Saccharomyces cerevisiae S288C: one gene and its partners. The gene in region 2 interacts genetically with the main gene of each other region. Each region holds a gene or a part of one and is shown on either strand. Other genes may lie near its edges. The genes, in order: YPS6, CIS1 and RDR1.

Region 1 (3,761 bases), on a different chromosome or scaffold from region 2:
AATTTCAACTGGGTAGGTCTCACTTGGATGAGCTGCTTGAAACAAGTAGTATTGGGCCAAATGAGCTCTGATATCGGAGACGTAAACACCCAATTCGACCAAGTTAACTCTTTCGTCAGATGGAGATAGAGTGGTAGTGGCTGGGGCAGCGGCAACACCAGCAGCGATGGCGGCGACACCAGCAGCGATTGAAGTTAATTTGACCATTATATTTGTTTTGTTTTTTAGTGCTGATATAAGCTTAACAGGAAAGAAAGGAATAAAAACATATTCTCAAAGACATACAGTTGAAGCAGCTCTATTTATACCCATGCCTTCATCAGTCATCACTACTTAAACGATTCGTTAACAGGTGCTCATTTAGCACCTCACATATCCTCCATATCTCATCTTTCACACAATCTCATTATCTCTATGGAGATGACCTTGTTTCTGAACGAATCATACATCTTTCATAGACTTCGTATGTGGAGTATTGTTTTATGGCACTCATGTGTATTCGTATGCGCAGAATGTGGGAATGCCAATTATAGGGTGCCGAGGTGCCTTATAAAACCCTTTTCTGTGCCTGTGACATTTCCTTTTTCGGTCAAAAAGAATATCCGAATTTTAGATTTGGACCCTCGTACAGAAGCTTATTGTCTAAGCCCATATTCAGTCTGCTCTAAACGGCTTCCATGCAAGAAATATTTCTATCTCTTGAATTCGTACAACATTAAACGTGTGTTGGGAGTCGTATACTGTTAGGGTCTGCAAATATGTAAACTCTCGGCGAAGGCCTTGGTGCAATTACGTAATTGTAGCCGCTGAGAGGCGGATGGTATTGAGAGAAGTTGATATTCAAAGAATTGATTATGATAAAAAAAAAAAATTGTAACCAATCCGTAAATACTGAAACTCTTTGCAGTAAGAAATCTTTCATCCCCAGAGAGAACGCGGAAATATTCAGCCTAAGTCTCTCCAAATTGATTTCTTTCATTTTGGTAGCGAAAGACTTAGTATCAACCTCAAAAAGTTGAAATTTTTGTAGATATATGTGCGGATGACATGAAGTATCCAGCTCCTTTGTGAATATGGAAGCAAGTTTCTTTCAAATTATTATCGACTTTTCCTCTGCCCCTTTTACCTTATAACTTTAGGAAACACTACCCTATCCATACTCAACTAAAAAAGTAGTACGTTTTCTTCTTTGAGAGGTATGGTGCAAACCAGTGCAATCTGATTCCAGATTGCCCTCACGTGAGGCTTCAGTAAATCTCGATCCCTCTACATATTACATTATCTCCTACTTGGCAAAATAGATGTGGCTTTAGTTGATGAAAATTTACCACGTCAACTATTTATGTCCTTTCTACAATAAACCCCGACCTACTATCCTCTATGTTGTTTTTAACATACCATACGAGCGTCATATGTCTTTTGGTTCACTGGGGAAGACCATCACTGTTGAACGTTTGTTGAAAAGTTCGAGATGATGAAGATTGCATAACAAAATGTAAAGTTATTTTTAGAAACTATAACGGTTCAAGACATTCAACACTATAACATAGCTTGGCTGGCTTGAACATAAAGAGGAAGAAGCAAAAGCAAGAGTAAAAAGCTTCTCATTTATTTCTGGCATTGTTGATCACCCAGTGCAAGCCCAATTTCGCCTGTGCTTTTCTTAAATTGTTTCTGACAACACCGAGGTTTTCGCTGCAGAAAAGGAACATATGGTGGTAATTTGTATAAGGGGTTAAGGGTCCAAAAATTTGCTACCCTGTCGCTCACTACAGCAAAATATCTCGAGATATCCGAGGAGTTAAAACTGACTAGACCTGTTGCGTAAACCTCATGCAAGCAGTACTCTTCGAGGATTTAAGCTTTGGAACTGCTTTCAAAGTTGAGAGTATATAAGGTGTTATGATCTTGGAATAGGGTTTTTCATCGTTCTTCCTTGTTCTCTTTTTTCATTGGTTGATCAGTTGTTAAATTTTGTCTCTTTCGAAAATAAGGATATTTGAAGACAACGCAAAGCTATCAATATGCAATTGATTTCCATCCTCTCTTTGTTGTCATCATTGATGTGTTCATTGACCGTTTTAGGGTCTTCCGCAAGTTCCTATGTTAAGTTTCCTGTTCAAAAGTTGGCTGATATTATAAATATATGCACACAGGATGTTTCTACCGTCTTCAAAAGAAATGAGGTTCTTAACACCACAGTGATAAATGGAATAGGAGTGTATGTTGTCAAGATGGAAATCGGAACGCCTCCACAAACGTTGTACCTACAGTTAGATACTGGCTCTTCAGATATGATTGTGAATAATGCTGACATTGCCTATTGCAAATCGATGTCTGACGGATCTGACTACGCTTCAACTGATAATTACGAGCTCACAGCAACGTTCAATGGGCTTCCTTCGACTACCATCTCATCAGAAGCTTATAACACTCTCTGCTCTTATTGGGGTACATTCGATGCAAGCAACTCATCTACTTTTGAGAATAATGCGACGTTTTTCAATAACACATACGGAGATGGTACGTATTATGCAGGGACTTATGGTACGGATGTTGTCTCTTTCGAAAATATTACTCTAAATGATTTCACTTTTGGTGTATCAAATGATACAATAGGCAATCCAAGTGGCATTTTAGGCATATCGCTTCCCATTGCAGAATTTACAGATGGTATCGAATACGCATTGGCATTGAACAGAACACCTTTCATATATGATAACTTTCCAATGGAATTAAAAAATCAGGGAAAGATTAATAAAATAGCGTATTCTTTATTTTTGAATGGACCTGATGCACACTTCGGGAGCATCTTGTTTGGTGCAGTGGACAAAAGTAAGTACACAGGACAGCTTTACACCCTGCCTATGCTGCAGGCATTCAATACCCTTGGCTCAAATCCTGGGATGATTATTACTGCACAAAGTGTGGCAATTTTGGATAGTGAATCTGGCAATAAAACTGTTTCGGATATTCAATTTCCAGTGATGTTGGATTCTGGCACAACTTTCTCCTATTTACCCACCGAAATTGCAGAAGCAATCGGCAAAAGTTTTGACGGAGAGTACAGCTCTGACGACCAAGGCTACATCTTTGATTGTTCAAAAGTGAACGATACTTTACTGTCCGTCGACTTTGGAGGATTTAATATATCGGCAAACATATCCAATTTCGTAACATCAGCTAAGGATCGTTGCGTTTTAAATGTTAAGCAATCCGAGTCCACTTATATGCTGGGAGATGCTTTCCTTGTCGACGCATATGTAGTCTACGATTTAGAAAACTACGAAATTTCTATTGCTCAGGCTAGCTTTAATAATCAAGAAGAAGATATTGAGGTTATCTCCGATACTGTCCCAGGTGCCACCCCTGCTCCCGGATACTTTAGTACATGGGTATATAAGCCCGGTAGTCCCATCGGAACAGGAGATTTTATTAATGTCAGCTGGACCTCGTATTCGGAATTTTCACAGTACAAATCATTGCTTGCCACCGCAGCCCAAAGCGATGATGCTAGTTCTTTCTCAAGTAGTGGCGGCTCTAGCGAAAGCACCACTAAAAAACAAAATGCAGGTTACAAATACCGTTCTTCTTTCTCCTTTTCATTATTGTCCTTCATATCTTATTTTCTTTTATAAGTAGAGAAGAGATACATAGTTTCGCAGTGTGTTACTGTGTGGGACTGTATAGGTGAAGCCCTATATACTGTGTAAAAGGCGATGAAACTTTATTATGTTATATATCACTGCTTCATATAAAAA
Region 2 (2,840 bases):
AAGTAGATTCGCCAGTTTCAATCACCGCAGTGGGCTTCATCGCTGATATTTCAAATTCGTTAGAAGAAGATTTCAGAAGATATTCCGATGCTATGATGAATGTCTTGGCTCAAATGATCTCTAATCCAAATGCAAGGAGAGAGTTGAAACCAGCCGTCTTGAGCGTGTTCGGTGATATTGCTTCCAATATAGGTGCTGATTTTATTCCCTACTTGAATGACATCATGGCGTTGTGTGTTGCTGCCCAAAACACGAAGCCGGAAAACGGCACATTAGAAGCCCTTGATTATCAAATAAAAGTACTAGAAGCAGTACTAGATGCTTATGTGGGTATAGTAGCGGGTCTTCATGATAAACCTGAAGCTCTGTTCCCTTATGTTGGTACTATATTCCAGTTCATTGCACAAGTTGCAGAAGATCCTCAGCTGTACAGTGAGGATGCTACCTCAAGAGCAGCAGTCGGATTGATTGGTGATATAGCAGCGATGTTTCCAGACGGCTCAATCAAACAATTTTATGGACAAGACTGGGTTATTGATTACATTAAAAGAACTAGGAGTGGCCAATTGTTCAGTCAAGCCACAAAAGATACAGCAAGATGGGCTAGAGAGCAACAGAAGCGTCAATTATCCTTATAATTACGATAGAACTTACAAGCTGATTTTGGTTCTTTTCCATCTTTGTTTCTTAACATCTGCTGCAGTTACCAACGCATTTACAAACCACGGTTTACAAAGGGCATTTCTCTTTGATCATAATTAATTTGTTATTTTACCTTTATGATTTTGTTACCTTCTCCGTCATAGGAGAGAAAACAAAATACCTGCATTCTTCTAATTCCAGTCGCACTTTTTAGAATTTCCCTCTTTTTATTAAAGTACATCTTAATTTTTTTTTTTCTTTCTTCCTTTTCTACTATCTTCTCTTTTATTATTATATTATATTATCAATAACCCTCATCTCTCTCTCTCTCTCTCTCTCTCTCTCTCTCTCTCTCTCTCTCTCTCTCTCTCTCTCTCTCTCCTTTTTTTCTTCTTTTAGATTTTTTTGCTTTTGTTTAATTTCATTCCAGTTTCCCCCCCCCAATATTAATATTCGTTCCTAGAGCCTATCACACCTAATATTTCCCGTATACATTATAGTAAATACCTCAAGACACTTATGATAGATTTTTTTCCTTAACTCAAACCTAATTAGCTCTATGCATAAAGAAAGTTTTGAATAAGGAAATCCGCATATTCAAATTATCAAACATGCACTTCATCTGCAAAACTTCCAAAAACTTTCTGCTCGTTAATAGTCAATGTATGGTAATGCGAATGAGCAGGTACCCCTTATTATAATGATTAATACTTACATCATAGTTAATAATCTTATCTCAGGGTACCCATAATTTCAACCATCCTTAGCTTCCATTAAAAACACAATGAGTTGCGTTACTAGCGAAGCGGCTTATCTGTTAATTCTTGCTTGCAAACATCTTAGCTGAAAGTGAAAAGGCACAGCCGCACCTGCTGAATGCTCAACGTTTGTAATAATCCGCCTATTTCCGCGGAATCAATAGGGCTCCTAGCAGGCCGCCATCAATTTTCAGCGTGCCGCATTAAAATTATATTACCAAGATTTCCATTTCCGCGGCTGATTCCTATCAATATTAAGTAATCAATCTTTTCCTCGTGATTCTTTGTGATGCTCATTCACAGAGGACTAATTAAGACATGTAGCACAATATATTCATATAAAAGTTGGTGCAGTTAATGATTAATTGCATTGTTTTCCTTGTTTCTTTCTGTTATACCTGTCGAATTAAACATAAAGTGTATATGAATTTTAAGGGGCACAAATAACAAAGGATTATTTATCACCTTTAATAATGCAATCGATCAGTAATTGTCCCATCGGGTTAGTTTCAAAAAACACAATCAATTCAGCTTCCACTATTGCAGAGTGGGTAGCATGTCCATGGAAATATATCAACGTTGTTGGTTCAGGCAGATATGTGAGCAATAAACCTGATAAAATTACCAGATATGATTTACTCAAGGCTGCCCAGGAAGCGGAAATGCAGGAGTTGCTTACAAGAAATGATATGAAAGGTAGACATAAACGTAATAAGAAAAGTAAGATAGCATTGGAGACTATAGCGGAAGAAAACTCTTCAACTGAAAGCCTTTTTTAAAGTTTGTGTCACAATCATGTTAAGCTATCGTCCCCTCATATCATTTTAGCCTCCAGGTAAAACCTAAATATTGTATAAAAGAGAATGGTAGGCGAGCATATTATAGAAAAATATCTCTAAATAATTTACAATTTAATATTCGTTGCTAATGGTAATTTTTTTTCAATTGTTCTTAATCCTTTCTTAAACATAAAAATAACTATTTTGAATATAGATAATACACATCAACGATGCAACTCCAGTATATTAGCTAGTTAAAGGAATGTTCAGTAACTCTACAGTATTACAGAAAGGGCTGAATGAAATTTCAACTAATTTGTCTCTTGTGAAATTTAGATTTGGTAACTCTACGCAGGTGCAAGCCATTAAATAGCCATATAATACTCTTAATGTTGACTCATGTGCAATGATGAGAATGTCCTTGCTCGTATGCTCCATTTCTAATAGTAAAGGTTCCATACGAACGGCTAAGTCATGGTAAGATTCCGCCCTAGGGAATCGAAAATGATATGGGTCTTTTAATGATTCTTTATATTCTGATGGAAATTTGTCCATTATCTGTTGATCAGTAAGATCAGCAATACTTCCTGGGTTCAACTGTCTCAACTCTGACCGTTGCTGAACTTTAATACCTTCTTTTGAAAAAAAGAGTGCAGTATCG
Region 3 (3,761 bases), on a different chromosome or scaffold from region 2:
GCGCCAAGCAAAATTACCTACCACTTTAAGCCCAAAAAGGTGATGTGTAGCTATTGCGGCTGTGGCGGCTATTGCGGTTGTCGCCACGCTTGTCGCCAGGGTTGTCGCTACGAATGTTTCAGCTTTTTTTTCAATGGGCCACTCTTTTCACGTGAAGCGCTCCACGAAATGTGCGGATATTGCGGAAGCTCTCAATGATGAGCTATCGGTAGGGATTAAAATAAACGAGATTTGGCAGCAGTTTTAAATACCAAGGGAGTAGTATATCTAGCCTCCAATAACTTCATTTGTGGAAACTTACTTCTATCTCACTCTCTACCTGAAAAGAAAACAAATATTGTACATTCATCAATTGCTGGAACATAAAGAACATAAAATCAATATGTCAACTAGCTCCTCCGTAACGCAGAAAAACTTGGATACAAACGCGGAAGCCTTGAAAAAGGAGGATAAAGTATTATCAGAGTTTGATATTCAGGATGAGAGGCCTAAATCCCTTTTATGGGAGAGTGCCTTTGTCGGAGTGCTGTGCTCTGCCCAACTAATGACTCAGGCAGGACTTGGACAATCATTAGCGCCGCTTCACATCATCGGTAACAGTTTTGGAACAACGAATGCTGGACAACTTAGTTGGTTTGCTTCCGCATATTCGCTAACTGTTGGTACATTCATTTTAATTGCTGGAAGACTCGGAGATATCTTCGGACACAAGAAATTCTTTGTCCTTGGCTTCTTTTGGTACGCACTTTGGTCCTTACTTGCTGGGTTTAGCGTCTACTCTAATCAGATTTTTTTTGACTGCTGTCGTGCATTTCAAGGCATGGGTCCGGCCTTTTTGTTGCCAAATGCCATTGCGATTCTCGGACGCACATATAAGCCAGGAAGAAGAAAAAACATGGTCTTTAGTCTGTTTGGTGCTTCAGCACCTGGTGGCTTCTTCCTTGGGGCTGTTTTCTCATCCATGTTGGGTCAACTGGCGTGGTGGCCATGGGCTTACTGGATAATGGGTATTGCATGCTTTGTTTTAGCTGTAGCAGGTTACTTTGTAATCCCTCACACCCCCATGCCAAGCCGCGATGCCTCATCTTTCAAGTTGTTGGAACGAATCGATTTTGCAGGGTCAGTTACCGGCGTTGTTGGATTAATTCTCTTTAATTTCGCTTGGAACCAAGGCCCCGTTGTGGGTTGGCAAACTCCATACACATACGCTCTTTTGATAGTTGGTACCTTTTTCTTGGTTATTTTTGCATATATCGAGTCCCGAGCAGCTTTCCCTCTGCTACCATTTGCTGCTCTTTCTAGTGATACTGCTTTTGTACTTAGCTGCATAGCTGCGGGATGGGCCAGCTTTGGTATTTGGATATTCTATACATGGCAGTTCATGGAAGACTCAAGGGGCCAAACCCCCCTTCTTTCTAGTGCACAGTTTTCACCTGTAGCAATCAGTGGATTTTGTGCAGCCGTGACGACAGGTTTCCTTCTAAGCCATACACCCCCAAGCACAGTTATGCTTTTTGCGATGACAGCTTTCACAGTCGGAACTATATTGATTGCTACGGCCCCCGTTCACCAAACGTATTGGGCTCAAACGTTTGTGTCAATCATTGTTATGCCTTGGGGAATGGACATGTCCTTTCCGGCCGCTACAATAATGCTTAGTGACTCGATGCCACACGAACATCAAGGTCTTGCAGCCTCTTTGGTTAATACGGTGGTAAACTATTCGATATCGATAGGTTTGGGTATTGCAGGTACAATTGAATCTAGAGTAAATGACGGAGGTGCCAAGCCTTTGAAAGGATATCGTTGTTCGTGGTACATGGGCATCGGGTTGAGCGGACTTGGCATTTTTGTCGCAGCAACGTATGCATGGAGCACTTTTATGAAGTCTAAAAAAAGGATCTCCGAAAAGCAGCATTTTATAGAATAAGTTCATATATAGAGAAATACTTCATCGTGGTATATAACCCAAACTAATAGAAATAAATATAGTACGATCAAAGTGATAGAGAGGAGCCAGTATATCCCGTATCGTGCGATAAATATGAAAATTACAAGAGGCCATTCTCGAGTGAAAAGATACATTATTTTTTCAAGTAGAAACCTGAAAGAACTTCAGTAAGATAACTTAGCGCACACTTTCCTACTTTAAGCTCACCAAATGGCATCCCCAGGATCGACAGCATTACCACACAAGCGACAAAGAGTCCGAAAGGCTTGCGTGCCCTGTAGGGAACGTAAAAGGAAATGTAATGGCAAATCTCCATGTGAAATGTGCGTTGCCTATGGATATGTATGTCATTATATTGACGGTCGTGTCCCTTCGGCATCACCTCAAGTGCAACAAGTAGGTGAAACATCTCCTGATACGGAGAGCAGACCTTTTGTTCTTCCGGGTATACATAGAAACGAACAACCGCAGCCTATAAATACACAGAACGTTACAAGTCAAAACATTGTAGATCCAACTAAGTCTAGGTACACGATCCAGCACTCTGCAGTTGCTTTCCCCCGCTGTCTTGGTCTCGAACTCCGATCAACTAATCCTCCACGCCTACATTCCTTCGCTTGGCATTGCGGAATCAGACCGGAAGAAAATCCAAACTCACATGTCCTTCTTTCTGATTTAGTTACAAAGGAAGAGTATTACCGTATCTCAAAAGTTTATTTTTCAGTTGTTCACCCGATATTTGATGTTGTTAATCCAGAGCAACTGGCAAAGAATGTTGAAAAATACTGGGATGGCGACGTAAAAACCTTAGAGTATGGGGCTGTTATTGCAGGGGTGATAGCTTTAGGATCATTTTTTATGGGAAGTCTTGGCCATCCCCGAGAGATGGATATAGTACAATATGCCAAAGGGATCCTTGATGACCCGACTTTCAGTCGCATTCCCACGGTGGAGCAAGTCTCCGCATGGGTTTTGCGCACCATTTACCTGCGAGCCACTTCGAGGCCCCATGTAGCATGGTTAGCTAGCTGCGTAACCATCCATCTTTCTGAGGCAATTGGCCTGCATCATGAGATTGACAGAGAGGATATAGCGATATCGAACAACGTTCCACCAAAAAGAACTACTGTAGTGAGCGAACACACTAGAAGATTATTTTGGTGTGCATGGTCAATCAATACCATTCTTTCATATGACTATGGGCGCTCAAGTGTTACGCTGAATAGAATTACTTGCAAGCCAGTTAAGGAGACGGACGGTAATTTTACAGCTCATTTAGTCGCGTTAGCACACCTGATTCCCCAAGACAGCGTGAACGCAAACGCAGCGCAATTGTTGCAGGCCCTGGCGGCCGTTCATGAATCACCAAACGCACATCCGTTTTTGTCGTTGACCAAGGGTGATATATGCCTCTCTTTGTATAGAAGACTTCGTTTGCTGAATCATATTCTTGATAAAAATGTTGTTTTACAAATAATTGATATCGGCAACACTGCGCTATCAGCAGCATACGCTCTTGTAAAACTGGATCAAGCATGGTGGAATGTGTTGAGCACCTCATTCCAGTACGTCTGTGTCCTTCTTGCCATCGACACACCGGAAAGTCTTTCACATGTTGCTACTGCCATGAAAACGTTAGATAATATTACTCAAATTCTCGGTACACGTATTGCTTTTGAAGCACAAAAGACCGCAAAACTGCTTCTTGAGGATTCCATGAAAAAAAAAAGACAAGAAATTCAGCAGCTTGAGCAGGCAACTCACCAGAGATCTAATCTTGAAACTACTCACCTACTCGATATTGACTGGG

What was found.
Region 1: mutations in CIS1 (region 2) and YPS6 together harm fitness more than expected from each alone (negative genetic interaction), as found in Saccharomyces cerevisiae (one large-scale study listed by BioGRID).
Region 3: mutations in CIS1 (region 2) and RDR1 together harm fitness more than expected from each alone (negative genetic interaction), as found in Saccharomyces cerevisiae (one large-scale study listed by BioGRID).

The regions. Positions count from the first base shown.
Region 1 is NC_001141.2:430,375-434,135, reverse strand, and holds YPS6 (aspartyl protease), read left to right. Parts: upstream 1-2,024; coding exon 2,025-3,638; downstream 3,639-3,761. Other genes in the region: seripauperin PAU15, read right to left, coding at 1-207.
Region 2 is NC_001144.5:821,626-824,465, reverse strand, and holds CIS1 (Cis1p), read left to right. Parts: upstream 1-1,873; coding exon 1,874-2,179; downstream 2,180-2,840. Other genes in the region: KAP95 (karyopherin beta), read left to right, coding at 1-638; YLR345W (bifunctional fructose-2,6-bisphosphate 2-phosphatase/6-phosphofructo-2-kinase), read right to left, coding at 2,426-2,840. UniProt on the Saccharomyces cerevisiae protein: Mitochondrial protein that is involved in citrinin resistance.
Region 3 is NC_001147.6:1,049,129-1,052,889, forward strand, and holds the start of RDR1 (Rdr1p), read left to right. Parts: upstream 1-2,161; coding exon 2,162-3,761. Other genes in the region: AMF1 (Amf1p), read left to right, coding at 383-1,930. UniProt on the Saccharomyces cerevisiae protein: Transcriptional repressor of multidrug resistance genes, such as PDR5. Required for growth on non-fermentable carbon sources like lactate or glycerol.